3 linked regions of the Arabidopsis thaliana genome follow. The protein of the gene in region 3 interacts with the protein of the main gene of each other region in a biochemical or structural test. Each region holds a gene or a part of one and is shown on either strand. Other genes may lie near its edges. The genes, in order: CRK5, D6PK and EIR1.

Region 1 (10,279 bases), on a different chromosome or scaffold from region 3:
AAACGTCACCAAAACCTCCTCGACCAATTTTATTATTCTCTGAAAAATCATTTGTTGCAGCTTGAATTGCTCTATAATCAAGTTGCAGCGACTCTATGGTTGTTTTATCATCTTCTGTTGCAAAATAAATGTCTTAGTAATCAGAAAAAGAAAGACAAAATATATTAGTCAAAAACATTAATCAAACCAATTAAGGACTTGAATCTTTACCATCTAAAGCAGGTGTTGTGCCATAAGTCTTCTTTGCCCTCTTTGCAAAGAAACAATAACCAGCTATGAAAATCAGAACAGCGACTATGATAGGCACAACAACGGCTACCACGACCACATTTGAATTCCCACTTTTATCTGCGTTTAAACAGATCATCTGCTTTAGTAAGAAAATAGTAGACTTATAACAAAACAAAAATTGAAAACTCTGCGTTCCATATTGGTAATACTGCAAAGATCAAGTAAACAGGGCAAAGGTAGAAGAAACTGTTCACCAGATAGTGAAGGAGATGCCAACGGAGGCAGCGGCGGTGGTGGTGTACCAATGGCGGTTTCGTTGTAGAAATCGTAAAGCTCGTACCTTGAATTACAACTTGGCCAAAACTGTCTTGCTCCAATTCTAGAAAATGGCATTCTATTGATGGAACTTGTCAGACAGTTCATGCAGTTTTGTCTTGAAAGATCAGGAGTGCATTGAACAAGCCCGTAGAAAGTCTGGAGTGCGGTCAATTCGGTCTTTATCGTAGAGAATTTTCTAGGATTGTCGGCTGCTTCGATGGCAATTTGGTTCATATTAGATAACACCAAATTAGTAAACTGGTTTATTTGATTTTGAATAGGAGAAATATGATTGGGGTTCCTCAAGATAAATTCTCCTTCGTTTGTAATGGCCGTCGATAGAATATTCTTGTGAGAGTATCTGAGTATGCACTCCTCGTAATAGAACACAGCTTCTCTCTGATTCGGACACCTACTAAAGGTGTTGTTGACGGCAAAGGTGACGCAGTTACGGCAAACTTCCGGCGAGACGTCTCCCCGGCAAAGGAAAAGTCCGGTGACCCTGTCAAGGGCTTGTCCCACCGTGGCGTTTTGGAATCCGGTGGAGTAAGAGGCGTTGCGGGAAGAGAGAGAGGACAAAAGGGTTTTAAGATTGGTCAAGTAAGTGCTGTTACTTGAGTAAGTTGTTGCATTTGGACAATAATAGGCTAGGAAACGAGGATCTTGAGCAGAAGCTCTGAAGCTAGTGAGGAATGAGAAAAGGAAAAGGAATATGAAAGGGAAGAGAGAAGACATGGTTTTTTCTTTGAGTTCCTTGATTTGAGTTTCACATTATGCAGCTTCCATTTATAAACTGACAAATTATATTCTCTCTCTGACTAGTGCTGATTATTTGATTAACGTGAAATATACGGTGGTTTGTTACGACTTTAAAGTCAGTCGTCAATCAAACTCAATGTACTGTATACGATTAATCTTTTTTATGTCATTTTTATTAACAACAAAAGTAAAAGTTATTGGAAGAAGACGTTGAGTTTAGTGTTTGGAATCTTTGGATCATTGATCCAAAAAAACATTTGTTGAGCAAAACCCAAAAACTTAATCATTGTTTCTCCACCTCTTAAATAATATGGGAGTTTGGTTTCAACTTTCAAGAAATGAGAGATTTTTAAGATTGTAGAGAGTATTGTAGTTATAGAATAATTTTAATATTGTAAAGGATATCCACAGTTTTTTTTTTTTGTTTTATGAATAAAATTTTACAAACAATATATATTTTAATGAAACTTAAGCCTTTGAATAACACAATTTTTAATGGAGTTTAAAAATCATGAAAATTAATAAAACTTAAATTTTATGAAGAATATCAAAATCCATAAAACAATAACAAAATAATCTCAAAAGTTGTGAAGGATCCATCTAGATGTATGAAAATATTTTATATAAAAAAAATTGAAAAATAATTTATAGGAAAAAGTGCAGAAGGTATGAAAAGAGATGTGAGTGATATAAGTCTAGGCATATTTGTAAAGTTCCTTGTTTCCAAAAAAAAAGACTCTAAAAATCAAAGCCTATTTCTTTGTAGGCGAACCTTCCACTGAGCGCGTTGATTGGTGCTGATTCTAAATAAGGCTACAAACTGAATCAACTAGGGTTGCGAAATGACTGTTTTAACTTAATAACTGTTCCGTTTGTTACTTGTATGGTAAGGAAGTCTAACGGTGCTGTCTTATTGACCCAAAGTTTCGGCGCCAAGCAGAATAGTCATCAACTTATTAAATAATATTCAAACCCAATATTTTTTATTTTTCTCGGAAATAGATTGATAGACGTCAAAACCTGGAATTTTGTAATTCTATTTTCTCTGGTTATCTCTTCCACATGTTTTATTAGTCTAACATTTAAATTCCTCGTGTAGATGACTTTGTCTTTCAAAATATTGTATTAGTTATTAGTTTACTTTACAACAAGAAAAAAAAAAAAAAAACTTTTGACGTGATAGATAGTTCACATTTCATTTACTTCACCACATTACAAATCATGTAAATCACCTTCCCACTGTACTCTGTTTAGTCTCTGTTTCCAAATCAAATGGTACAAGATCATTGGAGGTATTGCTAAAGCGATTCTAGAATGATTCAAGATCATAACCATACATTGTGACTTCAAAGCAGGTATATATCCTCTTGGCTCTTAGACGCTGAAATGAACTCCAAAGTTATAGCTTTTGGATTGCCCAAATTTTTAAAATGAACCAAACTGTAATGCCAACATTCCAAGTGTTCTCTCCCTCTCTCATTTTTTTCAATCGGTGGTGATGTTGAGACTAGACTAATTATTCATTATTAAAAAATCAAAACAAAATACATATGGTTTTAACAAACCAAATCAAAACTAAAAAATTATTAGGGTTGATCACATCCACAATTCTACAAATATGTAAACATTTGCGTAAGCTTGATTACAAGCATGAAGTTTAAGGTCATATTTAGCGCGGATATAAATCTGTGATCGATTCATCATCAATAGACGCTGGAAAAGACTTGGTCGTGGTAGACTGATCTGAATCAAGCGGGTCCTTTACGGCTCTACATTGAATGAAAAACCCTGGTTGCCGAGGCACTGGTAAGGTCACAGTATTACTAGTGAGCATCATGAAAACGGTTGATATTGCCGGACGCTTTGCAGGATCTTCTTGAACACATAAAAGACCGATATGGATGCATCGAACCACTTCACTATTCTGGCAATTCTCTGCTATAAGTGGATCCACGAGGTCTAATGCTTTTTTGTTAGTCCAAAGCCTCCAAGCCTTGAATACCAATCAAGCAATCAGTTCTAGCTAACATTACTTAATGTAATGTAAGAGAGGTATATATTGATTGTCTTAAAACTTACATGTGTGAGCAAGTCTTGTGCACCGTCTGACTCGCCGAAGCTGCTATTCTTCCTACCACTTATAATCTCAAGAACTAACACTCCGAAGCTATAGACATCAGATTTCATTGAGAATTGGCCATGCATCGCATATTCAGGAGCCATGTAACCGCTGGAATCCACAACAAAACTTTAGTGTATATGTTGGCAATGTAAAATGTTCAACATATTATAAGTTATGAGATGTTAAGTGGAAGACTTACTAGGTACCAACTATTCTGCTTGTGTTATCTTGGGTTTGGTCCAATCCAAAGATCCTAGCCATTCCAAAATCTGCAATTTTCGGATTTATATCCGCATCTAGGAGAATGTTACTTGCTTTAAGGTCACGGTGTATGATTGTGAGCCGTGAATCTTGATGAAGATATAGAATCCCCCGAGCAATTCCTCCAATGATATTGTATCGCTGCATCCAGTCCAGCTGAATTTGCTTTGTAGGGTCTGTGCAAATCCATGGATTACAGTTAAATCTTGAGATTAGCAACCCCAAGTTTCAAGATTAATGGTCAAAGAATCATTGAAATGCAACAGACCAAATAGTAAGCAATCAAGGCTTTTGTTAGGCATATACTCGTAGACCAAAATTCTTTCCTCTCCTTGTAATGAAAATCCAAGAAGCCTAACCAAATTTCTGTGTTGAAGCTTGGCAACTACAACAACCTCGGTCTTGAACTCCGCTTCGCCTTGTCTTGAATTTTTCGACAATCTCTTCACCGCAACTTCTTTCCCATTTGAAAATGTACCCTATCCGTTTAACTTTTTAATCAGCATCATCTCGTTATCCAATCAAAGAATCAATACGAAGTACTTAACCTAGGGTGTACTTGAAGATATTATAGTATACCTTGTAAACCTCACCAAAACCACCTCGACCAATCTTATTACTCTCTGCAAAATCATTTGTTGCAGTTTGGATTGTTCTATAGTCGAGCTGTAGTGAGTCTGCGGTTGCCATATCATCTCCTACTGCACAATAAACAGAACAAATGTCTTAGTAATCAGCTAAAGAGGCTGATGAATGACGACCACTAATATATCAAACCTAATTAAGATTGTTAGTAATCTTTACCCTCCGATGCAGATGCTGTGTCAAAAGTCTTCTTTTTCTTTTTTGCAAGGAAACAATAACCAACTAAAGCTATGAAAAGCAGAACAGCCAGCACAACAACGGCTACCACTAACACTGTTGAGTTCCCACTTTTCCCTGCTTTTTAAAGATCATTGGCTTAAGATCAGATAATGCCACAGAGTATAAAAATACAAAAATTAATCAAAACAACAAAACTTTCCCTACTAGTATTTCAAGAAAGCAGGGGAAATAAAAAGAGAGGACGGAGAATGAGTTCACCAGGTAATGAAGAAGATGATATCGGAGGAGTAGACACCAACGACTCCCTCGGTGGTGGTGGTGGTGGTGGTGGTGGTAGTGGTGGTGTTTCAATGGCGCTTTCATTGTAGAACGGGTAAAGCTCGTACCTTGCAGTACAACTCGGCCAGTAAAGTCTTGCTCCTATTCTGGAAAGAGCCATTCCATTGATGGAACTTTGCAAACAACTCAAGCAGTCTGCTCTTGTAAGATCAGGAGTGCACTGAAGCAGCCCGTACAAATTCTGGTATGCGGTCAATTCGGTATTCACCGTATATAATTTTCTAGAACTGTTGGCTGCTTTACCGGCAGCTTCACTCATCGTGGAGGAAACAAAACTTGTGAACCCGTCTATTTGTTTTTGATTAGGAGAAATAGTGTTGGTGTTACTCAAGATAAATTCTCCTTCGTTTGTAATGGCCGTCGATAGAATATTCTTGTGAGAATATCTGAGTATACATTGCTCGTAGTAAAACACGGCTTCTCTTACCTTGGGACAAAGATTTAAGGTTTGATTGACAGAAAAGGCTACGCAGTTACGGCAAACTTCCGGTGAGACGTCTCCGCGGCAAAGGAAAAGTCCGGTGACTCTGTCGGGGGCTTTTCCTGCAGTGGCGTTTTGGAATCCGGTGGAGTAAGAGGCGTTACGTGAAGATAGAGAGGACAAAAGGGTTCTGAGATTGGTGGAGTAAGTGCTGTTACTTGAGTAAGTTGTCGTATTTGGACAATAATGATTTAAGTAAAAAGGATCTTGAGCAGAAGCTGTGAAGGAGCTAGTGAGGAATGAGAAAAGGAAAAGGAAGTTGAAAGATATAAGAGAAGACATTGTTTGAGTACCTTGATTTGAGTTTCACATCATAGAGCTCCCATTTATAAGCTGATCACTAGCGTGTAGTATAAGATGGGTTGTGGTGACTATAAGAGTCAACAAGTCAAAGTAAATGATTCTTTTTCTTATTATTGTCATTTCTCTTAAACAACATATATTTTTATTTGGGAAAAGCCCACGTTAAAATTAACTTGAATTTGAATCAAAATTTAGTTATTTGATCAGTGATCCACATATCACCAGTTGAGCCCAATAATGAGTGTATAAACGGGAGCTCCTTAAAAGTTGGGAACCACTAGCCTACTACAACTTGGTATTAGAAACAAAAGGAATTCAAGAATGAGATTCTTGTTGTAGCAAAGCTTAACGCAGAATTTCGGTCAAGCTTCGATTTTTCTTAGTTAAATTACTTCCATTTTTGTTTCATAATATTTTAGTGCCTGACAAGTAAGTGTAAGATACTCTTGTCTAGAATTTTATTTACTAGAGAGTGAAAACAAAAGGGTGCAGAGAATTAATGGCTTATCTGCTGATTCTTACACAATCAGTTTGTTTTGTTGGAACAGAGATGTGATAAGTAAGTACGGTTTTCTGCAGAAGCAAGAGAGTTTGTGAGGAACAGAGAGATGAAATGATGTAAGTAGGCAAGTTTCAGTTCTTTGTTTCCCAAAATGACTCTAAAATTCTTATACACAGTTGTAAAGTTCAGAAGGAAAAGTACTAAAATATGAAGTCAACGACAATCTTTAGAGTCAACCTTCCACTAAGAGTGTTGATTGGTTTGATGAAGCAGTGAAGGCTAGAAACTGAAGCAACTAGGGTTTGGGAAGTTACTGTTTTAACTTGTAACTGTTCGTTTGTTACTTCTTTGGTAAGGAAGTAAAACGGTGTTGTCTTATTGACCCAAAGTCTCCGCGGCTTGCTGAATAATCACAAACCTATTAAATATCCAACTCCAATAGGTTCATCTTTTTCCGGAAACAGATTCATGAAAACTTAAAAATTTATAATTGTATTTTCTCTGGTTTTCGCTTTCACATGTTTATTCTAACATTTTTATAGTTGATTCATTTTAGTTAACATCAATACAAGTTGATGTTACTCGTCTAGTTGACCTTGACTTGCAAGATATTGTATTATTTTACAAAAACCAAAATTTGACTGGCTTGGCTGGTTTCACATTCATTCATTAGTACTCATAAACCAATCATTAAAAGTAAGAAAAAAAAAACAGAGAAGAAAGGTGAAGAAATTGGATAATGTCTGCTTATACCTCATTAAACTTTCTCTTCCTTCTAACCTTCTTCATTGGAAGCTTGAGAGTTTCTGCACAATTACAAGACCCTACTTACGTTGGCCATGTTTGTACTAACAGGATATCAAGAAACTCCATTTACTTCTCAAATCTCCAAACACTTTTGACCTCTCTTTCTTCTAACAATGCTTACTTCTCTTTGGGATCTCATAGTCTCACAAAGGGTCAAAACTCCGACATGGTGTTCGGACTTTATCTCTGCAAAGGAGATCTCTCGCCAGAATCTTGCCGTGAGTGCGTCATCTTTGCTGCTAAAGACACTCGGAGTCGATGTCCAGGTGGGAAAGAGTTCTTGATTCAGTATGATGAGTGCATGCTTGGATACTCAGACAGGAATATATTCATGGATACTGTAACCACAACTACAATAATCACTTGGAACACTCAGAAAGTTACGGCGGACCAATCTGACCGGTTTAATGATGCAGTGCTTTCTCTGATGAAAAAGTCTGCAGAGGAAGCGGCTAATAGTACAAGCAAGAAATTCGCGGTTAAGAAGTCGGATTTCAGTTCGTCTCAGTCGCTTTATGCATCGGTTCAGTGCATTCCTGATCTGACTAGTGAAGATTGTGTAATGTGTCTTCAACAATCCATCAAAGAATTATATTTCAACAAAGTTGGAGGAAGATTTCTTGTCCCAAGTTGTAACTCAAGGTACGAGGTTTACCCCTTTTACAAGGAAACTATAGAGGGAACTGTTCTTCCTCCGCCGGTTTCGGCTCCTCCACTGCCACTGGTTTCAACTCCTTCCTTTCCGCCTGGTTAGAGCTCTGTTTTATTTATTTACCTAATAGTTAGTTTGGTTTTAGTTCATGTCTAATCTAAGACTTATGCAGGAAAAGGCAAAAATTCTACAGTGATAATCATAGCAATTGTTGTGCCAGTCGCTATCTCAGTTCTTATTTGTGTAGCTGTTTTTAGCTTCCATGCATCAAAGAGAGCAAAGAAGACTTATGATACACCAGGTGCAAATGATGGTAAAGATTCCAAAATCTATGTGTCCGTTGCTTAAACTTTTATGGATTTGAATTCTTAAATATTTTGCAGAAGAGGATGACATCACAACTGCAGGGTCACTGCAGTTTGATTTCAAGGTTATTGAAGCTGCAACAGATAAGTTTTCGATGTGTAACAAACTCGGTCAAGGTGGATTTGGACAAGTTTACAAGGTACTACTACCGGTTCATTGAGTTTCCTTGTTACTTGCATAAGAGGATCAAATAAGGGGATGGCTCTGTTTAATTCACAATCTTTTTAGGGCACACTTCCTAATGGAGTACAAGTTGCCGTGAAGAGACTATCGAAAACATCAGGACAAGGTGAGAAAGAGTTCAAGAACGAAGTTGTTGTTGTGGCAAAGCTTCAGCACAGAAATCTGGTCAAGCTTCTTGGATTTTGTTTGGAGAGAGAAGAGAAAATACTTGTCTACGAGTTTGTGTCTAATAAAAGCCTTGATTACTTCTTGTTTGGTAAGATTTAGCTTAGGAAAGATATTTCCTTTTGGAACTCATGTTTTAGGTATTCTAACTATATGGATGTGCAGATTCTAGAATGCAGAGCCAGCTGGATTGGACTACACGGTACAAGATCATAGGAGGAATTGCTAGAGGAATTCTGTATCTCCATCAAGATTCACGACTCACAATCATACATCGAGACCTAAAAGCGGGTAACATCCTTTTGGATGCTGATATGAACCCGAAAGTTGCAGATTTTGGAATGGCGAGGATTTTTGAAATAGACCAAACAGAAGCCCATACGAGAAGAGTAGTTGGAACCTAGTAAGTTTTGGTCTTGCCATCTATTAAATATAAAAATTCTCTATTAACTCAAACATTTATGTATCGTGGCAGTGGTTACATGTCTCCCGAGTATGCGATGTATGGCCAATTTTCAATGAAATCTGATGTCTATAGCTTCGGTGTCTTAGTTCTTGAGATTATAAGCGGGAGGAAAAATAGCAGCCTCTATCAGATGGATGCTAGTTTTGGAAACTTGGTTACATATGTGAGTATAATAAACACTTACACTTTTTTGCTCTACTAAACATTCATAACATATAAGTCTTAAATTGTTCAATAGACTTGGAGGCTATGGAGTGACGGGTCACCACTAGACCTCGTGGATTCTTCCTTTCGAGATAGTTATCAAAGAAACGAAATAATTAGATGCATCCATATTGCCTTATTATGTGTCCAAGAAGATACTGAAAATCGTCCAACCATGTCAGCGATCGTCCAAATGCTTACTACTAGCTCGATCGCCCTCGCTGTACCTCAACCACCTGGATTTTTCTTCCGGAGTAATCATGAACAAGCAGGTCCATCGATGGATAAGTCTTCTCTTTGTTCCATTGATGCTGCATCGATTACTATTTTAGCTCCTCGTTAAAGACAAACTTGTTTCATAAACTAGAACTAACTGCAAATTTCAACATTTGGATTTTGGTGTTCATTTTCTAATACTCTAGGAGATTGTTACTAGAATTGAGGTCACGGTGTTTTGAATTGTTTGCACATAAATGTACAAATAATTTACAAGTTGGTCCCATCAATGTGCCTTGGGTTGACTTGTGTTTAGATTTTTGTTGAGTCAACCGCAAATGTTTACAATTATACCGTAGGCTATGGAATCTCTCTTAAGGCAGAGATTCACAATTGGAACAAACAAAAAAAAAAATGGTCCACGAGGAAAAAAAACAAAGATGATCAGAGACGAAGTCAACAAGAAAGCGAGAGAGAGCAACCAATATCGAAGAAGACGAATTAAAGTAAAGAAAAATGCCAAGACTCTTAGCTGTTTTACAATTATTATTAGCATCTCTTCGGTATTTTACAATTCGTATTTTCTTCTCTTACAAAACAACATCAAAATTTATTTCGAAGAAATCAAACTCAACCATCAATCGAATCGTATCCATAGATTTCACCAAGATGGGATACAAATTATTTAGATCCTTTCAGACGAAAAAGGGAAAAAAAATTGATGTGTACAAAATTACTTGAACCCACTCACTTTTGATGATCAATTGCTTGGGAAGCAAGCAGTCATAGCGGTGCCAAACCCTAGTTCTTAGTCCTTTGTCGAGAAGAATATAATGTGCATTTGTGATGTACAACCCCATTAAGATTGAGATGAAGCCCGTATATCATGGCCTCATGGGCCTCAGGGCCATAAAGATAGGAGGACAGCGATGAAATTGCTTCTTACAGACTAGATCAACAACTAGGTGAAGACAATATAAAAGAATTCGTTCATACAATAAATGTGAAAAACAAAATTCCACTTTTAAATAGATATTTAAAAAGAAAGAGAAGGAGGTAAAAAATGGAAATGAAGAAAG
Region 2 (10,209 bases), 460 kb from region 3:
GAGCCAGAAACATGTAATTCATATATTGAAATATATAATTTAATGTATAGCCAATAATATATAGGATGAGAAATAGCGCGCGGGAAAAGTATCAAGACCGGGTAATTCATGTATCCAAAGTTCTATATCAAAAGTGTACACTAATGAAATGCAGTATGAGACAGAAATCCGGGTAATGAGAAGAGTTTTAAAATTTTATAAAGCTAAAGCTAAACCACAACCTAAACTCTCACTATTTGGTAAGAATCACTTTTTAAAGTCCGGTCCAAACCGATTACTCACGATTTTTGGAGAAATGAACACACTCTAATTTCATAAAAAACAAGTAAACAACTTTAAAAATGGCCTCATTAATTCTTAATCCCATCAACTAACTTAGATAGAAATTGCTAAAACCAACTCGAAGCTGAAAGCCTTGGACAATATAGTCAATACACTTTGTTTTAACATTAAAGGAAACGTTTTGTTGATAATCACAACCAGTAATCGAGCTTACCTGATATCGAATCTCTTGACATTTCTTCCTTTTAATTTTACATAAATTTTGGTCTTTTTCATTTTGTATATAAATTCAGTTTTTCCAAACTTATGTTTCTATTATGTTCATTAAAACTACTAAACATTTTACCAAGTTTTTTTTTTTTTTTTTGTTAACGTGTTGTCTTACATAAAAATTTCTTAAAAAATTGTTTACATATGAGCCTTATAAAATGATATCAATCATATGTAGATTGATATTCTGTCACCAAGTTGATGAATGATAGTAATGATATTAAATACACGATTATGTGTGTTGACATGAGATAAAAAGTGTATAGAAAAATGTAGAAATGAGAAAAAATCAAAAGGTTAGCATTTATTTATGGAAGTCGATTTCACCTTTGATTTTGTTTTCCAAATTGTTAATTGTTGGAATACCAAACGTGTCGAAACTGTGGTACAAAAGATCATCATTAGTCCCATAACACACACTTTTTATTTATTACTGTACTTAATTAATAAACAGCAGAATATAGTATAATTTTATTACTCTCTCTTCTTCTTCTTCCTCTTCTCAAAAACTTTCAGTTTCGATCTCTCCTAAAAAGTTTGAACTTTCCGTCGAATCAAATGGGAAGCGGAAGATATCTAGACGACCCTTTAACATTTACTAGAAACCCACCTTCCTCGTCGTCTCCAATCACCGAATCTAGCTTTCTCGCAGAATCGATCTCTCGCTCTGGTAGCTTCGAGAGTGGGAGCTTACGAGGAGGCGATGGTGATTGCTTTAGCGACGTCGATTTCGCACTTGATAAACTCGCTGGGACTGTACAGTTCTACGAGAGGCATGTCTTCTTGTGCTACAAAAAACCATCCGTTTGGCCTGCGAGGATCGAAGCTTCTGAGTTTGATCGGTTACCGAGGCTTCTCTCCTCCGTTATATCGGCGAGGAAGAGTAGTATGAAGAAAGAGGTGATTTTGTTTTGAGGGACAAAATTTAAAGTTCCAGAATTTACTGTGGTATTAAGTAGCCTTAGGTCTGAGAATCTCTGTAGTTTTGGTCTCCATGGGTTTGTGATTCTAACTTAGGGGAGACTTAGAGTAAATCCCTAAGAAAGGTTTCGCCAGTGAACATTCCTAATCTGCAATATGAGTTTAAAAGGCACTTCTTTGTTTTTGTCTTGTGAAGAGCTTCTTAGATCTCAGTGAGTCGTTTCTCCTGAGGATATTTGGGATTTTTCTTGAGGCATTTTTTTATTGGCAAGATTCAATGCTTTACAACTTAGGAACTGTTAGTTTGTTTGTAAAAGGTTTCAGAATACACAATTCTAGTGTACTGACTTTGAAGGAACCCTTACTTACAATGTAGCTTCTTATTATCTTGCACATCAGTTATAAACTATCTTTTGGGTCTTTTAGATGTCTTTCTGATGTTTTTTTATCTATGCGTTGAATTGCAGACTTTACTCACAATATGTGAGGGACATGATGGTTCAGAGACATCAAATGGGGATGTTCTGATATTTCCAGATATGATCAGATACAGGTACTACTCAGTTAATATTGTGGTTGATGATTCTTAATAAACGGTAACTCATTTTGGCAATTTCAAAAAAATGCAGAAGGTTGACTCATTTTGATGTGGACACATTTGTTGAGGAGGTGCTTGTGAAGGGTGTTGAGTGGTTGCCTGGAAATCCTGAATCTCTTAGTAGTTCATATGTCTTTGTATGTTGTCATGGATCTCGAGACCGGCGATGTGGGGTTTGTGGACCTTCTCTAGTTAGTCGATTCAGAGAAGAAATTGACTCGTGTGGTCTTCGAGGTGAAGTTTCAGTCAGCCCTTGTTCTCACATTGGTGGTCACAAATACACTGGAGATGTTATCATCTATGGATTAAATATCAACCAGAGAGTCACAGGACACTGGTAAGTAAACTAAGGCTAGCTTTGGAGTAAAAAGATTTGAGTGTGCAACCATAAAGAGTTCTATGCGAGTTTTAACTTATTAAGTAATTCTTGTCTCTTAGGTATGGATGTGTGACTCTAGAGGATGTTCCTCTTTTGTTGGAGCAACACATTAACAAAGGCGAAATTGTAGACCGGCTTTGGAGGTATAGAAGATCAAAGCTTCTTGATTTAGACAGTCTCTAAAAAGAATTTCGGCCTTTAAACAACACTTATTGATTGTTTTCCAGGGGTGAAATGGGTCTGCCAGAAGAAGATCAGAAGAAAACTCAAGAACAAAGGTTACAATTAAACAGCGAAAAGATCAGCAACAGAGAGGTGACTCAAGAATCAGTTAATAATAGTATCTGTTGCCAGTCTCGAGCTGTCCCAGAGCTGAACGGTAGTGGTTGCCAACAAAATGGGAACTCCTCTTACTGTCTGGAGGAGATTCACACAGAGAAAAATACCTCGGAGAGAGTAACCTCTGTAAAAAATGCATCTCTTCGGATAGGAAGCAGCGAGAATGGATCTTCTGGTGGATTCAAGGTTTGTGCGGTGATGTCAATGTGGTTGGAGACTTGGGAGAGAGAAGATACATATGCTGCTTTAGCTGTTGCTTGTGCTGCTGCATCTGTGGCTATTGCTTATAACTGCTATAAACAATTGAAATGAAGCTATGTGTTTTATATTTAGCTTCTATGCAATGGTAATTATCTCAGTCTTTAGATTAGTTGTTTCCTCTTCGTCTGTACAGAGTTAGAAGAGGGTTTTAACTCTTAAGTAAGAACTGCTTGTTGATAACATATGATTATTATATATCCATTTGTAAGTAATTACGGGTTTAGTCAATTTGGTTTAGAGTTCAGATCAATGAAAAGCAAGGAACTTTTGAGGTTTTGATATGGTGGATTAATGGATTCTCAATGGTTCGTGTCTAACATTAAACTCAAGAAGATGGTACAGAGACTGTCTCACAACTTTGAAGAATGATTACAAATCTCATAACTTTTTCCAAGACGTGAAAATTAAAAAGAAGAAAAAAAAAGAAACACATTTGTAGAAAACACTAAACAGAATTTGCAAAGAAACAATAATGAGAATCATCAACTGTGGAAACAGTTTCTTCAGAAGAAATCAAACTCAAGATAATTACTCTGATCAGATCTTACACTCGAAGATGCGGCTGCTGGCACAGTAGGAGTAGGATTCAAAGCTTCAAGATCAACCGGTTTAGGAATCTCCGGTGGACTGGCACATCGAACCAGAGCCCAATTCACTCCTTCAAAGAAAGGATGTTGCTTTATCTCTGTTGCTCCACGCTTATAAGCTAATCTATGTTGTGGCTCCTTCACAAGCAAACTCCTTATCAAATCCCTAGCTGCGAAGCTAACAACCGGAGATTCAGGGAATCTAAGAGGCTGACCAACCACGTTGAAGAGCGTTGCTCGATTTCCTGACCCTTTAAACGGTGTTTTACCAAACAATAGTTCATAAAGAAAGATCCCAAAGGTCCACCAATCAACTGCACTTCCATGTCCTTCACCTTTGATGATCTCTGGAGCTAAGTACTCGTGTGTGCCAACAAAAGACATAGAACGGGCGCCTGTGGGCTCTGCAACGAGTTCTGGTAACGGAGTTACTTGGTGGTTCCCGTTTTCGGTTTTCGGTTTCTTGTCTTTCTTGGATTTCGATGAGAAGAACCGAGGACCGAAGCAAGATGTTGGAGCCATTGAGATGCAAGATGGTTGCTGGATGCATGCAGGTTGTTGCGAGCAAGAAACCGAATTCTTCGACAAGCCTTCGGATCCAACATTAGCTGATCTGACTATAGAGAGGCTCACAGTACATCTCAGGGAGAGATCAAAATCCGAAAGCATCACGTGCCCATCATCTCTCACAAGAACGTTCTCGGGTTTCAGATCACGGTAAATGATCCCAAGCATGTGTAAATATTCCATTGCAAGAAGCACTTCCGCGACATAAAACCTGCAAAACAGCAAGTCACTAAGGTTATATAAACGCACAAAACTAGATTCTTAGATAAAGAAAGTTTAGAAAAAGTTTCTTACTTAGCTGCTTGCTCGGTGAAGCGTTTCCCGGGTTGTCTCTGCCTTAGTGTATGCAAATCACCACCAGGACAAAACTCCATCACCAAACAAGAGAACTTCTCTGTCTCAAAATGACTATACAAAGTCGGAAGAAACGGGTGATCAAGACACTGCAATATCTCTCTTTCAGTTTGAGCCCTAAGAAGCTTTTTCCGGCTAGCCAAAGCAGTTTTATCCATAACCTTCATCGCAAAATAACACCTAGTTCCATTCAACTCAGCAAGATGAACAGTTCCAATATCTCCACATCCTAACCTCTTCAAGAGCCTAAAATGATTCAAACCCAAACCACCATGTTTAGTTCTAACAGCTTGAATAGCTTCCCATCTCACATCATTAGCCTTGTGAGGTTTGTTGATACTGCTACTAAAGCTGCTACAAGTGCTCTCATCGCTTATATCACTGCTTGTACTTGGTCTACAAGTGCTACTCTTTCCACTCTCACCTTGCTCGTTGATCTTACTATTACCGGTTTTGCCATCACTACTTGGATCAGCGAAAGACAAACTCGAAGATACTTGATCTGCTAAAGTGTTGATTGACATACTTTGACTGGAATTGGTAAGTGATCCTTCTGGAGTTTTTGAAGCCATCATTAACACAGAGCAATCTTAAACACCAATTCCTTCTTCCCTGAGATTTAAAGAACTTGTCTTTACTCTCTAGTAATCAATACTGTCACAGATTCCATCAACGAGTGGCCTGATCTATAGTCATCAAAACAAAACAATAGCATCAGTTTAAAGCTGGATTGAGAAGACTCAGAAACAACAATCACGGATCTTACTACAGATGAAAGTTTAAGTAGATGCACAAAATTTTACCCAAATTGAAATATCAAATCTAAGTGACAAATCAATTAAAGCTCTTCATGCAAAAAGTTTGGATTTTTATTTTGAGTCTTTAAGGGTAAAAACAGATCTCGTTAAAGTAAAGAAGAAGAAGAGGCAAAATAAAGAACTTTTGGATCTAGCAAGAATCAGAGAATAAAACCCAGAAAAAGAAGAAATAAAAAGAACAGAGCTTTAGAGAGAGAGAGAGAGAGAGAGAGAGACCCAATAAATCGTTACCTGAAAGTGAAGATTTTTGAGCGATAAAGATCACGAGATACCCTTTTCGAAGCAAAGGGAAGGAGAAGTAGAAGAAAAAAGGAAGGAGAGGGAAAGAGAGAGAACAGTCACTGTTCATGTAAGGCTGTAGAGAGAGAAAGAGATGTAAGAACACATCTGCTTGCTTCCATGGAAATGGGGATAGATAGAGAGAGGGAGAGAGAGGAGAGAGTGTTGTTAAGAGAGAGAGAGAATTGGGTCTACCATGAAAAGAGGGAAGAGGAGAGAGAGGGTCAAATAAAAAGTTGAATACTTTTTTTTATTTTTTTTATTTTGAGGGAATTTCAATTATTTCAATGTATTTTTTTTTGTTTTCTCCAAAATGGAAGACATATGTTTACATCAAGAATGCTCTCGCGAGCTGTTAATAATTTTAGGCTTTTTAGGGCAACCAAATTTTTATTGATACATGTTATTGTATATTTCCTACATGTTTACTTTATATTTTGATTTTCTAAATAATTGTCTATAGAAATTTTTATATATATTTACCAAAAAAATTCCTTTTTGATTCTTTAAATTATTAAACACATCAATTTAAATTATTAAAATTCAACATTCTTATCTTTCATCTATTCTCATGAATCTGTCATGTGCCTTTTACTTGATGATAAAAAAAATTGATGTTTACCTCTATGCATAAATTTATGGATTTTACATATTTAGCTTAAGTTTTCACACGAGTTTTTCAGTTTAGCAATTCTAAGTAAGAACTATTGTGAATGCACATTTTTGTTAGAAGGACAATCCCATATGCGTGCCACCAAACTATAATTTTCTGTTTTATTTATGCGGTTTGGAAAACATCGTCCTAAGCGTATGTTTTCGTCATCATGCAGCATCTTCGGAAGTTTCTTCTTGTGTTCTAATGGGTGAAACTTGAGGCATTAAATGAACATTAGCGCATACCATATCACAAAGAGTTTTGCATCTTTTCGGATTGCCAATAGATGATAAATCTTATAAGCTGAATGAAGACATAACAATAGATATTTTATATCTCGATTTCTTTTGTTATCAATTCCATTTACATCCAGTGTTCATCCAATTTTATGGTCGAAATAATACTTTCTAAAAGCTTGTTAGCATCCGTCAAACATTCTGTTTTCAAATTTTTAGTGAAAGTTTTTGTCATTTACCAAAATCAATAAAAAAAAATCTTTTAAGTTTTTAAAAATAACTAAACATTCCAAAATTGTATAAACCTTTAAAAAATTTCCCTAATAACAAATACGTAAATTGGTCATGTGTATTAATTTTATTTTATTTTTTTACTAAACACACCAAACAATTATTTAAAATTAGACTCACCATTGTTTGAAACTTGAGAGTTCCAAAAGATGCCCCTAAAACTTTTCAGCAAATTCTTATTTATTGCCCAATAATAAGTTTCCTTAGATTCTAAGATTATATTTCATGTATTTTATTTTTTTTCCCCCACATTTAAATCGAACAGAAACAATGTTTTTTTAGAAATGGTTCAACAGGTAGTTGACAAACCAGAAGATTGTTCAACATAAAAGAACACAAGTGGGTATAATTTGTTCATTTCCTCATATCTCAAATAATTCATATTTTAACCTCATGCTCTTATTAGATCCAATTACTGCGTCAATTTTTAATCGAGAAGCTCAGATCCAATAACGACAATTGCTACACGATCGGCTTGTGACGTGAAACGCGAGTGGGGAATCTTTCTTCATTATAATCCCATTTCTTTAGGTTAAAAATACTGCAATAATAACAAAATAAAAGGTTTAGTTTATTAAAATGTTTTGTTTACCATGATACTTGAGGGATTAAGGTTTCTAAGTTTCTTCATTACAATTTAAATCATAGCTGGACACTGTCACTAAGGATGCTTTAACATTTAAATGGTAAGAATATCCATTTTTATACAAGTTTCTAGGTTTACTCTTAGATTTAGATCGAGTCCTCTCAAAGTCTTAATTATATTATTTTCTTAACAAATTCATAGAGATTCAATGGTTAAAAGATTTATCGTGAAAATTAAAGATTCGAGTGTTCCTACAATGAGATTAATCATTATTGGTGGTAGTTGTGAATGCTTTAAATAGCAAAAATACCTAGTTCTTTTATGTCCAAAAAAACTAGTTTTTTTTTTTTGGTAAGCTCCAAAAAAACTAGTTTAGAGTTTGGTTTAGATCTCTTTGTTGTAACTTATAAATATAATGATAGAGATTTCTATTTATTATCAATCAAAACAACTTCTACACGCAAATTCGTTTACCTAATATTTTTTAATATTTTAATGTTCTTTCCAGTTTTGTTTTTGTTTCACTAAAGTCAGCCAAAATAATTCAATTATGATGGGCATATTATAAAAAAAATTACAGTAATTTTGTTCTTTATTTCCAATAATATGTCATATACTGTACACTTGTTTTCAGTTAATTTCTGTTTGATTAGTTTATTATCCACTCTACTTTAGTACAACCCAAATGTCAGAACATAGTCCACATGATTTTGTTTGACGTAAAGTTATAAATAATAGTCCACCTGATTTATTTTATTATCTTCTTTTTGTTTATAAAATAACCATCTTTTTCCCTTACAAAAATGTTCTTTATAACAGCAGACAAAAAAAATGTTCTTTCGAATATAATAAAATCAGGAAGAAAGTAAACAAGAAAAATATATGAAATTATTCATACCATAATAATACAAAAATTGATTGATTGGAACATATAATCGACCAGTTAGATATCTTTAATGATTTTCGATTATTTGAAATACATATTTATAAAAAGAATGAATAATGCAAATAAAAAAAGAAAAAGGAAGAGTTAAGGATAAATAATCAAATTAAAATTGAGAGGTCCCCAAACAAGATCTGACAAAGATAGATGAAGAATGGGTTGTCATGTTCTCCAACACAAGTCCCACTTTGGTGTGAGAGTTTCTCAATCTCTCTCTCTAACTTCTTACAACCAATCAACAGCTCACTGCCAAATCCCTAATTTTTTTTAAAAAACAGTTCTCTGAAAAATAAGAAAAACTAAACTGAAACAATTCTGAGCCTTTCAATTTCATATATTTTGTTTGGTTTCATACAATTATGGTTTGATATAGTTTGGTTTGAGTCAATTCCAACATATGAAGTGATGAATTAACAAATTAATTAAAAAGTTGATAATTAATCATTTGAACTTAAAATTAACAAAATTTAGTATATTCATTTCGGTTTGTTCCAACTACATTTAGGTTAAAAAATGTTGGGTTTTTCGAAATAAAAAATATTTAGGTTAGTAGTTATAGTTTTTTTTTTGGCCACCCCTAGTTTGGTTCTTGAGTAAAAATAACAGCAATTTAGTGATCGGCTCAAGAACACAACTTAACTTTGATTCTCTTAAAAGATTTTTTTCTGAAACAAAACTTTTGGACATTTAAGGTGGTCTGCCCACGGAGTCCAACAGAGTGCTCACTCTGGGTGCTTTTAACGTTGCACAAATCTCGTCGTGAATAAACAAAAACAAGAAAGCCAATATATGGCACAAGCCTACTATAACCATAGATGATAACGTTTTCGCAAATGTTTTTTCTTCTCTTTGATGAAAAAACACTGAATCATCATTACTTCTCCTCCTTCGCCTTCTCCCGCATGGCTATTCTTTTCTCTTCCCTGCAAACGTGATTATACAAATCATTGTCAAGCAACTATATATAAAAGACAAGTCTAAAGCATTTTGTTCTCTCAGTTCATGGATGGGGATAGATATTTATATACCTAGCTTGAGCTATTTCGTTCTTCCATTCCCGTCTCTTCTTCTTTTGCTTCCTTGGTTTAGATGGCTCTTCCACATTTTCAGATTTTGATTTCTTATCCTTTTTACCTCTCTTGTCCTCCTTTGATTTTGCAAGTTTTTCCTTGTTCTTTTTTTCTTTTCTTTCCTTAGGTTGCCTAACGGGAACAGAAGGCTTCTCCGTCTCTTCAATGGCCTCAGCTTCATCATCATCATCACTAGACACTTCAGCTTGCTCTACAGTTTCTACCGCATCATCATCACCTTCTTCTGAAGATTGCTTCACGTTGCTCATTTTCTTCAGCTGTATAAAGAAAAAGAACACAAGAGCATTACATCAAATTGTGTGGATTATATCAACTATTAGAGTATTGACAAGTGCATGGTTGATCGATTACAATGGCCAAAAGTGAGTACCTTTGCCACAAAAAATCCGTCCATGTTGTGTACATGAGGATAGAAACGTCTAGTCTTGTCCAAAGATGGCTGAAACCGGTGTTCTCTAAATCTGGTAAATCTGATGAAGAGAAGAAGGACAAAGAGTTAGAGACATTATTTAATGTTCCTTTAAATATCCCTCAGATGAAAAACTTGTGCATTACCCTTTTCTGCCAAAATCGAGACCACACGTAACGAGTTTAACATCCCTCTTTTTGAGGGCATAGTCAATGACGGCTTCATTCTGCACAATTTTTTCATACATAAAGAAAAATTAGGATGAATCAAATACAAAGAAGAAAATTATGGGGGAAATTATCAGTTAACTAACCTCAGTAACCATAATTGAACATGTTGAATA
Region 3 (12,557 bases):
TTAGGGTTTTATCACCAAAGAGTTGATTTTGATTATGTAACAATGGTTTCTCTAATTCAGGAAAAGCATTGGAGGACTTGAGAGCATCGTTATTCAACAGATTCCGTTCACCGGAAACTCCAAAGAGACAGCAACAACAACAACATCGTATCTGTGGCCCAACTGTTGCTCTTACTTTCAATTTCGTTGTTGCTATTAGCATTATCTTCATGAACAAATGGGTACTTTTAAGTTTTAACTAACCAACCTCTCATTTTAACATCTTCATTAGTGTTAAATACATCAAAGTAATCAGCTTTTTTTGCTTCTTTGATTGCAGGTTCTTAAAAATATAGGCTTTGAGTTTCCAGTGTTCCTCACATTCATTCACTACATTGTAGCTTATCTACTAATGGCTCTTCTCAAATCCTTTTCGCTCCTTCCTGCTTCACCGCCTTCCACGAAATCATCGTTGCTTCCGCTCTATACTCTTGGCATTGTAATGTCACTCTCTACAGGACTAGCTAATGTTAGCCTTAAGTATAACAGGTTTTGGAAACATTCTCTCTTTTTTTGCTCTCCCTTGTTTTCATACATTGCTCTGTCTCATACTGTTTCTCACTTCGTTGTTTTTGTTTCTCAGTGTTGGATTCTACCAGATGGCGAAAATTGCTGTTACGCCTTCTATCGTGTTTGCAGAGTTCTTGTGGTATAGAAAGAGAGTTTCTTTCATGAAGGTAAATGAGATTTTCTCTCTTTATCACACAATTTGTTTGTAGTCAATTGGATTTATAGAGTTAACAAAGAGAAAAACTTTGGTATAGTAAGTAACCTTGTGGCTGATGTTTTTCAGGTGGTATCACTTACAGTTGTATCTGTGGGAGTTGCGGTTGCGACTGTAACAGATTTACAGTTTAGTCTGTTTGGTGCTTGTGTAGCATTCGCATGGATCATACCAAGCGCAACTAACAAAATCTTGTGGTCTAATATGCAGCAACGAGAAAACTGGACTGCTTTGGCGTATGTGATTCAGATTCGTTTGTTTTCAGTCACACTCATTCATATAGCTGTATCAACATCTCTCAATACCATCTCTTCATTTTTATTTTTTAATTCAGGTTGATGTGGAAAACGACGCCAATCACTCTGTTGTTTCTTGTATCGATGATTCCGTTCTTGGATCCGCCCGGTGCTCTATCGTTCAATTGGAGCTTAACCAACACATCTGCCATTCTTGTTTCTGCTCTTCTCGGATTCTTTCTTCAATGGTCAGGAGCCTTAGCTCTAGGGTGAGTAAAAGTTTCTTATACATTAGTGTTGTCGTTACATTTTGGATTTAAAGGTTGCGTAGCTGAGTGGTTCCTTAAGTCCAAATTTTGCTCCATATATTGCAGAGCAACTTCTGCAATTACGCATGTGGTGCTAGGACAGTTCAAGACTTGTGTCCTCCTCCTTGGAAACTACTACATTTTCGGGTCGAATAGTGGTTTCATTAGCGTTGGCGGTGCGTTTGTGGCGATTATGGGAACTTCGTTATATACATACCTTAACACGAGAGGTCAATCTCTTAAAACTTCGTCTTCTTCTTCTGCTCTCTCGGAGAAGAAGTCAAGATTCAGTGATCTTAAGGATGATGACAAGAATCTTGAACCTTACGGCTCCGAAGCTGTCTAGTCTAGGCTAACTTTTGTATTATATAGTTTTGATTATTCCACATTACATTAGATTCTAATTCCAACTTTTTGTTTTTGTCGATGATTCTTGTTTCCATTTTTCTAATTTCATCTCTGAAAATAAACAACTTTTCTTTTGACAACAACTCTTTCAATTCATTTTTTTGTTTTTGTTTTCTTTTGTCTTGTCATCAAATGTTCTTGTATCTTTTATTTTCTGTCAATTTTGGGAGGTGTATATGTGCTGAATATCTTGAAATTTAATGAAACTGTTTTTTTTGTCATCTGAAAAAGGATGAAATTTATATGAAACTGTTTAGAAAACAACTTATAATAATTAACATAAACTATAAGAAGAGCAAAAAAATTAACAATCTTAAAAATGATTTTAGACCAAAACAAAACCAAAATGTCATGAAATGATTTAGGCCTTATGGGCTGAATTTGTTAAATGGGCCGGTTTTAGTCTTACGTATTGAGGATTTGTATCATTTTGCTTTTAATTAGTAATTGATGATTTGATCCAATATGGAACAAAAAAGAAGCTCATAACGCTGATTCATTTTCGATCGCTTTTAGTAAGAGACTGATAATTTTTGGCATTAGCAAAAATGATAAAATTCTAAGGTATTTATGCAAGTTTGTTTATAAACATGTGCTATAATGTACTTGAAACAATATGAACATTAATTTGTTATACAAGATAAGATTCACGATGAGACATTATAATAGTAAGGTGCCTAGAGAGACAAGAGCTGTCACTGAGCAAATGTTGTCTCCTACTCAATGCACAAAACCTTCTGAAAACATCAAAACGTATAAATACTTTTACCCTTAGTATACATATGCTATTTCTCTTACGCACTTCATTGAATAATAAATATTTTTACGTGTAAACTATTAAAAGATCTATTGTCAGATAAGTCAGAGGTCAGGACAACTATATAGAGAAGAATTGTTATTGAATTTCTCATGTGTTGTTGTTCGTTCAATTACGTTCCGACCAAAGAGCGAGTTCCAACGTATATCTCATCGTTTTGATACCCCACGTGATCGTTTTCACGTTACACAGTCAACGCCTCCAGAGCCAAGCCATCTTTTCTAGTACATTACATTTACATACTTAAATTCAAGCGCCGATCACCGATACGTTTTGAGGAGCTCATAATTAATCAAACGCAAGGAAAAAGAAGAAAAATAATTTCTATTTCATAAAAACTTTGGACAGTTTGGTTGAAAAGTTTGATCACTCGTTAAGATATTCACACATGTTAGATATGCACAATTTGTCTATAACGCAAAACTTATCATCAGCAACTATCTTACTACACAATCAATTGTCTAGACTAGTGCTTTCATTTGAAATGTTTCTTTCTCCACGCAAATTCTTTGTATCACTCCAAAAATAGTCCGAGTGATATCTTATTGGTGACAGATAAGTATATACTAAAATAAAGGAAAATTAAATTCTATTATAAGTTTGATTGTTCTTTACTCATCGAATTAAAATGCGACTACCTTCAAGCTTCAACCGAATATTACGTTCATAATTTTTTAACAAAAAAAATAACGTTCATAATTAACTTTACATACAAACAAAAACATAAATATATAAGACAAAAGAAATGAAATAAAAAGGTTATATGTGGAAGTATTAGTGCATTTGATCCAAAACAAAATAAAGAATTGTATGGAGATTTAGAAAAGCACAAGATCTAATCTAAACAGACTGCGCGATCTAGTAATACTTGACTAGTATATGATGAAATATTAGTGTAATTTAATAACATGCTTCACGACCATCGATAAATAGAAAAAACTAATCAATAGTAAATAATTGTACTTGCACATCCCAAAAATTTAATAAATGTAACAAAAACTACAAAGTCACGTACATGCATGTGCATATAATTAATTATACAAAGTTATCTAAATTTTCGACTATCATATGCTATAATTTAATTAATGCGACATTGCATGGTCCCATACACCTAAGCCTGACCTGGAATTAGTCTTTTTTCGTTCTTGTAATTATTCTTTTTCGTTTGAAAAAAAATCACCTTTGGGTCGTATCGCCTTTTATTTGCAAATACGTTTTGATAATAACTTAAAGCCCCAAAAGAACGTAGTAGAGTACTGTTACAGGCAAAGCAACCAGCATTCCGAATATAACCCTGAAAAATAATATCAAGTTTTTAGCTTAGGAGATCTCTGTAACTTTGTATAGTTTGAATACCAAATTAATATCTTATATATAGTATTAAAATGAAGTTTAAGAATGAAAATTAAATATTTTATAACTTAAATAACTTACGCAGTGCTGAGAATATCAGGATGGACGTTATATTCTTTGGCGAAAACAAAAGGAACGATTCCTTGAGGAAGAGCAGCCTTCAAAACATACAATTATATATATTCTTATCAATTATATTTTTCAAAGAAACCCAACATCACTAGCTAAAACATCAAACTGTAAGTTAGATTGAAATATATATAAGACTAAAGAGTAATCACCTGAACGATGGCGATATGGAGGAGATCACCTCGAATACCAATTGCTATTGAGGTGGCTGCGATCACGGCTGGTCCAGTCAAGAACCTTACGGCCATCGCAAACCCTGCTACTGATTTTCCGCACGCAATAATCTTTGGTTGCAATGCCATAAATAGACCTATATGTATCAATAATTAGCAAAAAAAAAAGCACCAAAGACTATAACTAAATATATATATGAAGGGAACTATACCAAGACTAAACATAGCCATTCCAAGACCAGCATCAGATAATATCGAAATCGATCCACTCATTATCGTTGGCATCTTTATATTCCACCTGTCCCATAAAATGATCAACAACATCAAGCAATTGCCCAAATATATTGTTATGTTATATGATTGTGACATTATTATTAGTACTTACTTGAAAGAGACAAGGGACCAAGCAAGGCCAAAGAGACTAGAGTAAGTGTTAGGGTTTCGAATGAGTTTTCTCCAAACCATTATCAGAATTAGTCTCGTCATCACACTCGCCGGCGGCATCTGCTGTTTCCTAGGACCGGGACCGCCGTCTTCCACGTCGCTACCTTTTTTGCCCATGTAAGGTGACTTTCCCCCGTTATTACCGTCTTGGTCCATTTCCACATGCCCTTTTCTTCCCGGTGACATGTTCTCTATCAGATTCTGCATCGCTGTCATCACCAAGTATGAATATAATTATAATTAAATATCACAGAAAATACTAAACTAAATTTATTATGACCTTTCTTCGACCAAAAAACTAACTTATAGAAAGCCGTACGGAACCAAATAAAAATCTACTTTAATTAGTTTAAAAGTTTTCATAAGTTTTGAAACTTTGAAAAAACTATAAAAAAAACTTAGAACCGATATTGAGCTTTATACATTTTTCCTAAAAGTTAAAAAAAAAATAGAAGCGTGGCAAGTAATGATAAAAAAAAATATGAAATAAGTTGGAGATTAATAAACCTTTAGTAGCGAGGTTGTCGTGAGGAGGAATAGAAACTTTAGGGTCGGTGGATACATCGGTGGAAGAACCTCTGGTCATAGCATTCTTCGCGTTGGCTTCCGACACCGGAGAAGCACTCGAACTCCACACGAACATGTTCATCTCCTTGTTTTGTCCTCCTACTCCTACTCCGCCACCGCTTCCTCCGCCACCACTTTCCTTTTTCTTGACTCCACTTGCTCCACTCGTTGACCCCGTGAACATTGGGTTCGGCGGTGGGTACGACGGAACTGACCATAAATTATAGAAAATTTTATTTTAAAACATTACATTATAATGAAAAAATCACATTTAAATTTCAAAATACAAAATTAATATTTTGTTTTCCAAAACTATAATCAGTTTAAAAACCTAAGAGTTTTGGAAGTGATATACTAAATTATTATTATTTTGTTAAAAGAAAAAAATAATTACGCAAAATTATTTGATGAACTCTTTACTTAACTTTTAAACCTTTTTAAACCTAATAATATCCCACTTATAATCACCGGTGACTGATGGAAAATAATAATAATATCTGAATCGATTCTTATATCTATTTAAATTTATAAAGAAGCAAAATATATTTTTTTAAAAAAATAAATAAAAAATAAATATATATATATATATATATTAAAAAATTCATACCACTATTATTGTTGTATAATTCCCCACTCATACTTCTGCCTCCTCTTCCTGCTTTCTTCGCCGTCTTCATAACTTCCTCATCAAAATTTGACGTTCTCGGCGTCACGCCTTTAGAAGACTGAAGTGAGTAAACATCTCCACCTGGACCAGCTCCAGCGCCGCCGTAGCTATTAGTGTAACCGTGACGAGGGCTTGGAGCTTTGCTTGCGTTAAACATTGCGTAGAAATCTGTCTGATTAAAGCTAGAAGCTCTCGGCGTCGGCTCTCGTGACGATTGAACGGAGTAAATCTCTACGCCGGTGAGATTTGAAGCTCGCGGCGTTATCATGGAGGAGTTAAGTCCTCCGCCGTGAGATTTGTTGAATGAAGAGATCATTGATGAGGCGGCACTTGATCTTCGAACCACCACGTGTAGCTTTCCGTCGTCTCCTATCTCCGCATCGGTCTAATGAAAGATAAATCCATATTTTTAGGTGATGAATTTCGAGTCGATGTGATTTAAACCGGATATAACCGAATCGGTACAAAAAGAATGAAAATTCAACTAGACTATAGTTAATAACTTGATATTTCTTATATTGTACTAATTATTAAATTCTGCGTGAATAATGTAACACGTCACTTTGAAGATTATTTTTGACTTCTGAAAAAGGAACTCAGACAAAACTCAAAATTTGTTATAGATTTACATAGGCAAAAAGGAATCCCAAAATGACATGTAGTCATGTCGTAACTAGTAACTACCCATTTTCTAGTTTACTTGAGTTAACCGGTCCGTTAATTTGAACAAACATATGAAAAAGGTCATCAGTGAAAAATTCATACCTGGAGGGGTTCACGGCCATTAAGAGAGATAACATCAGAGTCAACTCTGAAGGAAGTAATTGAACCAGCCGTCTCCGGGAACTGCTCGGAGATGAGAAGCTTAGCCCCACGGAACTCAAACAAGAAGAGCATTAATGTATACCATATGATGCTCTGAAGCACCACGATCTGCACCATTAGGTTACCGGAGAAGTCTCCGTACATCGCCCTAAGCAATGGGATTCCCATTACCAACGTGTTAGGCAGTGTTGATAGTGAAAAGAGCGTTATCATCCATTCTAGGCTTCCTCTGCGGCTAAACGCCTAAAAAATAATATCACAATATATACACAAACATGAGAATGTGTGTGTTTAGAGACACATATTACAAAAGAGCTAAAATGTTAACTAAAATATTTACCCGTGTTAAATGACATAGTTACTATACTATAAGCTTTCGATAACCAATATGTTTTCGAGTAAAAATTGACCATCATAGCAATTACTAGTAGACTACCATCACTTAATGAAGATAGATTATGTGCATAGAGAGATTATTGAAAGAGACGGGCCTGCCAAAGAAAGAGTGCGGCGAGGATAACGACTTTCTGAAGAGAATCAGCAGCGAGGAAGTGGTAATTCATTGCATAAGGATCATTGGAGGAGATGAAATGGAAAGAGAGAAGAGGAACCGCGAAAACCGCAACGAACCGGTTTATACCGGAACATTGGTCCGGTGTGAATATCCCCCACCACCGTACCGAACCATAGGCTAATATCATAGCAACGTATAGCGGCACCATAGCCGCTAAAACATCGTACATGTCTTTGCCGGTGATCATTTTGATTTACTTTTTCCGGCGAGAGAGAGAAGAAGAAGAAAAATAGAGATATAGATGAGTATATGTGGTGTGAAATAACGTATTTATGGACAAGGAAGTGAAGTTCCTTGAGACGATATTTAATTAATGTTGTTTGTGTTAAAATAATGGGATTCGTGTTCAAACATTGAATTATAGCTAAGCTTAGCTAGAGAGGATCGTTGGACATTTGAATATCAAATAAACAAAATATAAACCAAAATGCCTTTTTTCTTCCTCGGCATTTTGTGAATGGACAAATACTAATACAGTAATAATTTCAGTCTGAATCTTCTTTGGTCCATAATTTTTCGAAGTGCTCTAGATTTTTTCTTTTTTTCCGTTGATACTAGATATTCCTTCTATCTTTATTACTTCTGCAAAAAGCCGTTATATTTAATTTGAAGAATCTTATCTTGGGATAAGGAAGATTGGTTTACCTTCTGTCTCGTGGTCTAACATTATTTGTAAGTAAAATTAAATGCTTCAGAGATTATAAATTATAATTACACAAATGTTAGATTCAAAATATCTGTAGAGTCAGATACTTGGATCCACTTGTACGTGTAATACAAATTTGTAAATTTAGATTAGATTTTATATTAATAAGAAAACAAATTTGTAAATTTAGATTAGGTTTTATATTAATAAGAAAACAAAAACGATTTTTGTGTAAGCTATTGAGACGGCGAAGGTTGATGGACATGCACATGGTTTTTGCGAGCATCTTACTACACTTTCTGAGCGATCTGCGGTTCCCTGTAAACATCTGATTTTTAATCAGGAAAAATACAATTGTAATTAACTTATCTTTTAATCTTGAAACGGTGTATTTTTGTTTTTAAACGAAAATCTCTTAATGATTTATTATTAACTACAGTCAAAGACATTGGCAATTGGACCGATGAATAATTAGCCTCTCTTCCATATTTAATTGTCGTGTTTTCTTCATATTGCAATTGTTAACGTATTTATCACGCCACGTGATTGGGCGTTTGGGCCTAATGGACCTATGGATCTAACGATGGAGATACTAACTAGATTATCACTAAAATCTCTTTTGAAGTTCCAATATGTATCGAAGACATGGTTTTCCACAATCCGTAGCAAAGACTCCATCAATTCGTTGGTCTCTATGTCATCTACACGATCATCGCGATTTCTTATATCTCTTTAAAAAAAACGGTGAATTGACCAACAAGAAACCTAAAAAGAGTTTGTTCTTCTTTACATCTTCACAAGAGGAAGAAGAATAAAAGCCTTTAATAAGTGATCTCAGTTTTAAACTTTATCCATGTTTTTTTGTTAACTCATGAATTGAAAGAGAACAACCAAAGTGAATGTAGCCTGATAAAACAGGATGAAACTATTGAAAGATTCAAACTTTGTTTACAGAATCATCCTTCTTGGCCACTTCACTACTTTCCAACGGTGGTAAACTCTGCACAAAAGTAAAAAGCAATCAGATTACAAATCTCTCATGGGCAATTCATCGAACACCTTATGTGCATTACAATAAAAGAGAGATCACAGAGCCAGAGAACGAAATGAATGGTTTTAAACCGATCACGCTTATGGGCATTATCAAGAACGAAGAAAGTGAGCAAACCTAATACATTTGAGAACCCTAACATATGTACAGAAAGAGAAGGTGAAGCTTACGAGATCTGGTTTGTAGATGTTGTGGACAACGGAGGCTCCGGCGAGAAGGGAAGCAACGACGACGAGTGTTGACATTGCCAGAGACGGAGTTCCCGTCGGCAACTTTCCTTTATACGGTTTCTTCATCTTTGGCTCTGCTTTTTGACTGAGCGCGCGATATGAAGAGAAATTTGAAAAGCTTTTCGAAATTTTGAACCATCATCAACAAGTTTGCTTTTATAGCAAGTCGGCTTTTTATGATTTGAACGCGCAGCTCTCGCGCGTGAGTAACACGTCACCTCCCTGCCTGAATCTCATTATCTAAGGCCAAAGTTTTGAATTATATAATAAGGTCAAGCTACTCTAAAGAATTATGGAAATATCAAAACACTTTTTTGAGGATCGTTTATAAGCTTCAAGACCATCACTTGACAATCATGAGAGTTCAATACCTCAAACCTCATCAGATATGTCACATCATTCGGTACTGGTAATGATATCCTTGCAAAACATGAATTCAGTTGACATATCATATACATATTACTAGTAAGCTATAAGAATCTCACTCAACACACAAATGAATTTATTCTTAGAGATACATACGACAACCAGTCATTATGACAATCATCAACCAACTTGAAGAAGAATTGCTTGTAAGGGAGAGGGAAAGGTCACAAGAGGTAGGCCCAACAAAACTCAGAGCCCACAACTATATTTTCATATCAATGGGCCATACATTGTACATACATCAATGCGTACCAACCAAAATATAAAACATTCAACACCGAAGTTATTGAGTTTTCATCTGACACTCCAAAGTTCAAACCGAATAATCAAAACACACCAAAGCAAAATCCCTCAACCGGTTAAACCCAAAAAACTAACCAGCCAGTTTGAAACCATTTACCACTAATAACTATACCAATAATGCCAATATTACCCGTAACTTTTGAACTCGAGTCCTTGCTGCACATTGCTTAAAATCACAACGAATTTCGCCAATCAAATATAAAATATCTCCAACAATTTTTACCGACTTCCCTTGAAGATGTTTCTCGTATGAGATCCTTGTGCATTGCACAGCCTTGCAGGGCATAAGAGGTTGAAACCTACGCCGTTTTCGTAATGGGCCTAATAATAGGCCTTAAAAAGCCCAGTTACCTCTTTCTATTCACGGAATTGATCTTATCGAGCCTCCACTCATCTCTAAGCCTGGCAATGAAATTGTCGGCTTTCGTATCAACGTCCGGGCTTGGGCAGAATCCCGGCATACCGCCGCCGCTGACGGCAGCTTTAGTCTCAACTCCGCCATCAGATTGTGTGAGTTCTAGACCCCAACCGATATCGAACACTTCCCGTTCAGGGGAGCTACATCTAGAGCTCTGATTACTCCGTATCTTCGCGAAATCACCACTCACGACATATTTTAGCGGCGGAACTCTAAACGGAGGCGGTGGTGGAGGTGGAGGCGTAATTTGGATTAACGGAGATCCTTGGCCGTTGTTCTCTTCATTGAAATTCTTCGGTTTCGTCGGACGCGGAGGTCTTCCGGATTTCACTCTCCGTGGTGGTGTCTGAGGATCAAATTGGGTATATCTCGGCGGTGGAGGTGGAGGCGGCGCCGGAACGGAATGAATCTTTTTGTTGCTCTTAACTCCTTTCTTGAACAATCCGTAGAATACTGATTGTGACGATCGCAATGGAGGCGGAGGTGGTGGTGGAGGAGGAGGCGGAGACGGTGGTGGGATTAACGATTGGTATTGCGGTGGTTCCGTTACATCTTCCACCATCGGAGAAGATTCGATTCTCTCTTTTCTCTTCGATTTCTGAAGCTTCTTCTTCTTCTTCCCTTGATTATACAGAGAAGCGAAAACCATTTTAATCTCTTTCGCCGCATTGCTCTTTCTTCTTTGAAGAGTTCCTTGTTTTCTTGGTGGCGTAGCGGCTATAAGCGGCTGAGGAGGTGGTGGGGGCGGTGGAGGCGGTGGTGACGGCGGAGGCTGAAACGTTCGTTTAAACTTAGTCTCACTGCGTTTGGCGTTTTCTTGTAAATCTCTGTTTCTAACAGAACGATGAGTCCTTCTCGGTTTCTGCGGAACTTCAACCGGCGGAGGTGGGGGAGGAGGTGGTGGTGTTGCCGGTGGTTGTTGCGGCGGAGAAGACGGTTTTACAACGAACGTATCAATCTGAATCTCTTTAGGCTCAGATTCTTCTTCCTCGATTTCAGTTTTAGAAAGATTCTGAAATTGTTGGTAAGAACTCGAATCCTGCGATCGGTACTTATCGATTTCGAAATCATCATAAAACCGGAACCGTCGATCGCCAGTTTCTCTAAAAACTCCTTGTCTGAGATCAGGATAAGAGCTACTACTACGCCTCAACGGTACATTCCCGGTAACCGGTAATCCATGAGAAAAACTTCGACTACTTACACTCTCATAGATCTTAAGCCTATCAGAATCATACACGTCATCAAACCACTGCTCTGAAACCGTCGACGACGAGGATGAGATTTTGCTAATCTCACCGACGGTCATTTCACCATTCGTAACGGCTCCTCCTCCTACTTCTTCTTCTTCTCCGCCGTGTAAAGACTCCGAAGACAATCCGTCGTCGTTTCGTCTAGCGAGTACGCCGCAGAGAATCGCGAAAACCACTAAAACCACGTTTATCGAATCCCATCCTCGCTTCACCGAAGCTGGCTGAAGAATCTGAGATGTGACTGAGAGAAACGTAGGAACGACGAAGGTCACAAAGACAAGAAAAATCGCCGCTGAAGTTACTCCGATCATCGCCGGAACTAAAATCGCCGGAATCGATGATCTCCGGCGAGCATATCCGGTAGAGTCAAACTGGGGCCAGATCAGCGGCGGTTGATCGTCCATTTTTGCCGGTATAATTTTTGAATAGAGAGAGAGAAGAGAGAGACTTGTCGATTCGATTACAGTACATTAATGGAGTAAACGTTTATATAGTGGTCTTATTATGTGGCGGAGAGATTAACAATAATAGTAGTATTAATAATTTTAAGTACGTTATTATAGGGGGAAATGATATGATTAAGATTTATAATCATACGGACACGGAAAGGAATTGTTGTCATGGTCTCGAACGATGTCGCGCCGAAGATTTGTTAAAATAATATTATTAAACTCGATTCAAATCATTGAGTTGGAAAATTCCTCGAATTGCTTAACTTGCATTCATAAAAAGATAATGCACCCTAATTTCCACAATATCAAAAGTTATAATTGTTTGACGAATTTATAATAAAAATTTGTGAAAGATGTACAAAAGAGCTATTTGATAATGACATGAAAAATTGAGATATATTGATATGTTATTTTCTCGAAGCCGTCCAAGTATAATTTCAGCATTGTTATTTGAATAGTATAATTAATCGGATTTGTTGCATGATTTATAAAAAAACAATTTTAATTTCATTTT

Evidence for each region.
Region 1: of the proteins of EIR1 (region 3) and CRK5, one has a biochemical effect on the other in vitro, tested with the Arabidopsis thaliana proteins (one study listed by BioGRID).
Region 2: of the proteins of EIR1 (region 3) and D6PK, one has a biochemical effect on the other in vitro, tested with the Arabidopsis thaliana proteins (one study listed by BioGRID).

What each region holds. Positions count from the first base shown.
Region 1 is NC_003075.7:12,116,736-12,127,014, reverse strand, and holds CRK5 (cysteine-rich RLK (RECEPTOR-like protein kinase) 5), read left to right. Parts: upstream 1-6,800; 5' UTR 6,801-6,880; coding exon 6,881-7,697; intron 7,698-7,772; coding exon 7,773-7,913; intron 7,914-7,983; coding exon 7,984-8,105; intron 8,106-8,194; coding exon 8,195-8,405; intron 8,406-8,479; coding exon 8,480-8,717; intron 8,718-8,789; coding exon 8,790-8,943; coding exon of another isoform or gene 8,944-8,982; exon of another isoform or gene 8,983-9,018; coding exon 9,019-9,327; 3' UTR 9,328-9,524; downstream 9,525-10,279. Other genes in the region: CRK7 (cysteine-rich RLK (RECEPTOR-like protein kinase) 7), read right to left, coding at 1-114, 211-348, 486-1,284; CRK6 (cysteine-rich RLK (RECEPTOR-like protein kinase) 6), read right to left, coding at 2,978-3,301, 3,388-3,556, 3,630-3,867, 3,960-4,170, 4,271-4,392, 4,496-4,630, 4,775-5,618. UniProt on the Arabidopsis thaliana protein: Involved in multiple distinct defense responses. May function as a disease resistance (R) protein.
Region 2 is NC_003076.8:22,636,502-22,646,710, forward strand, and holds D6PK (D6 protein kinase), read right to left. Parts: upstream 5,914-10,209; 5' UTR 5,608-5,913; exon of another isoform or gene 5,362-5,607; intron 5,245-5,361; 5' UTR 5,134-5,244; coding exon 4,499-5,133; intron 4,416-4,498; coding exon 3,554-4,415; 3' UTR 3,312-3,553; downstream 1-3,311. Other genes in the region: AT5G55900 (Sucrase/ferredoxin-like family protein), read left to right, coding at 1,111-1,452, 1,941-2,026, 2,103-2,408, 2,510-2,593, 2,678-3,101; OLI2 (S-adenosyl-L-methionine-dependent methyltransferases superfamily protein), read right to left, coding at 9,241-9,289, 9,395-9,714, 9,828-9,927, 10,013-10,092, 10,180-10,209.
Region 3 is NC_003076.8:23,095,659-23,108,215, reverse strand, and holds EIR1 (Auxin efflux carrier family protein), read right to left. Parts: upstream 7,701-12,557; 5' UTR 7,452-7,700; coding exon 7,182-7,451; exon of another isoform or gene 7,031-7,181; intron 6,934-7,030; coding exon 6,631-6,933; intron 6,251-6,630; coding exon 5,806-6,250; intron 5,409-5,805; coding exon 5,139-5,408; intron 4,841-5,138; coding exon 4,573-4,840; intron 4,486-4,572; coding exon 4,400-4,485; intron 4,325-4,399; coding exon 4,167-4,324; intron 4,044-4,166; coding exon 3,967-4,043; intron 3,827-3,966; coding exon 3,760-3,826; 3' UTR 2,988-3,759; downstream 1-2,987. Other genes in the region: AT5G57100 (Nucleotide/sugar transporter family protein), read left to right, coding at 61-221, 320-528, 623-716, 833-999, 1,098-1,268, 1,374-1,653; AT5G57080 (uncharacterized protein), read right to left, coding at 8,848-8,910, 9,132-9,257; AT5G57070 (hydroxyproline-rich glycoprotein family protein), read right to left, coding at 10,268-11,995. UniProt on the Arabidopsis thaliana protein: Acts as a component of the auxin efflux carrier. Seems to be involved in the root-specific auxin transport, and mediates the root gravitropism. Its particular localization suggests a role in the translocation of auxin towards the elongation zone.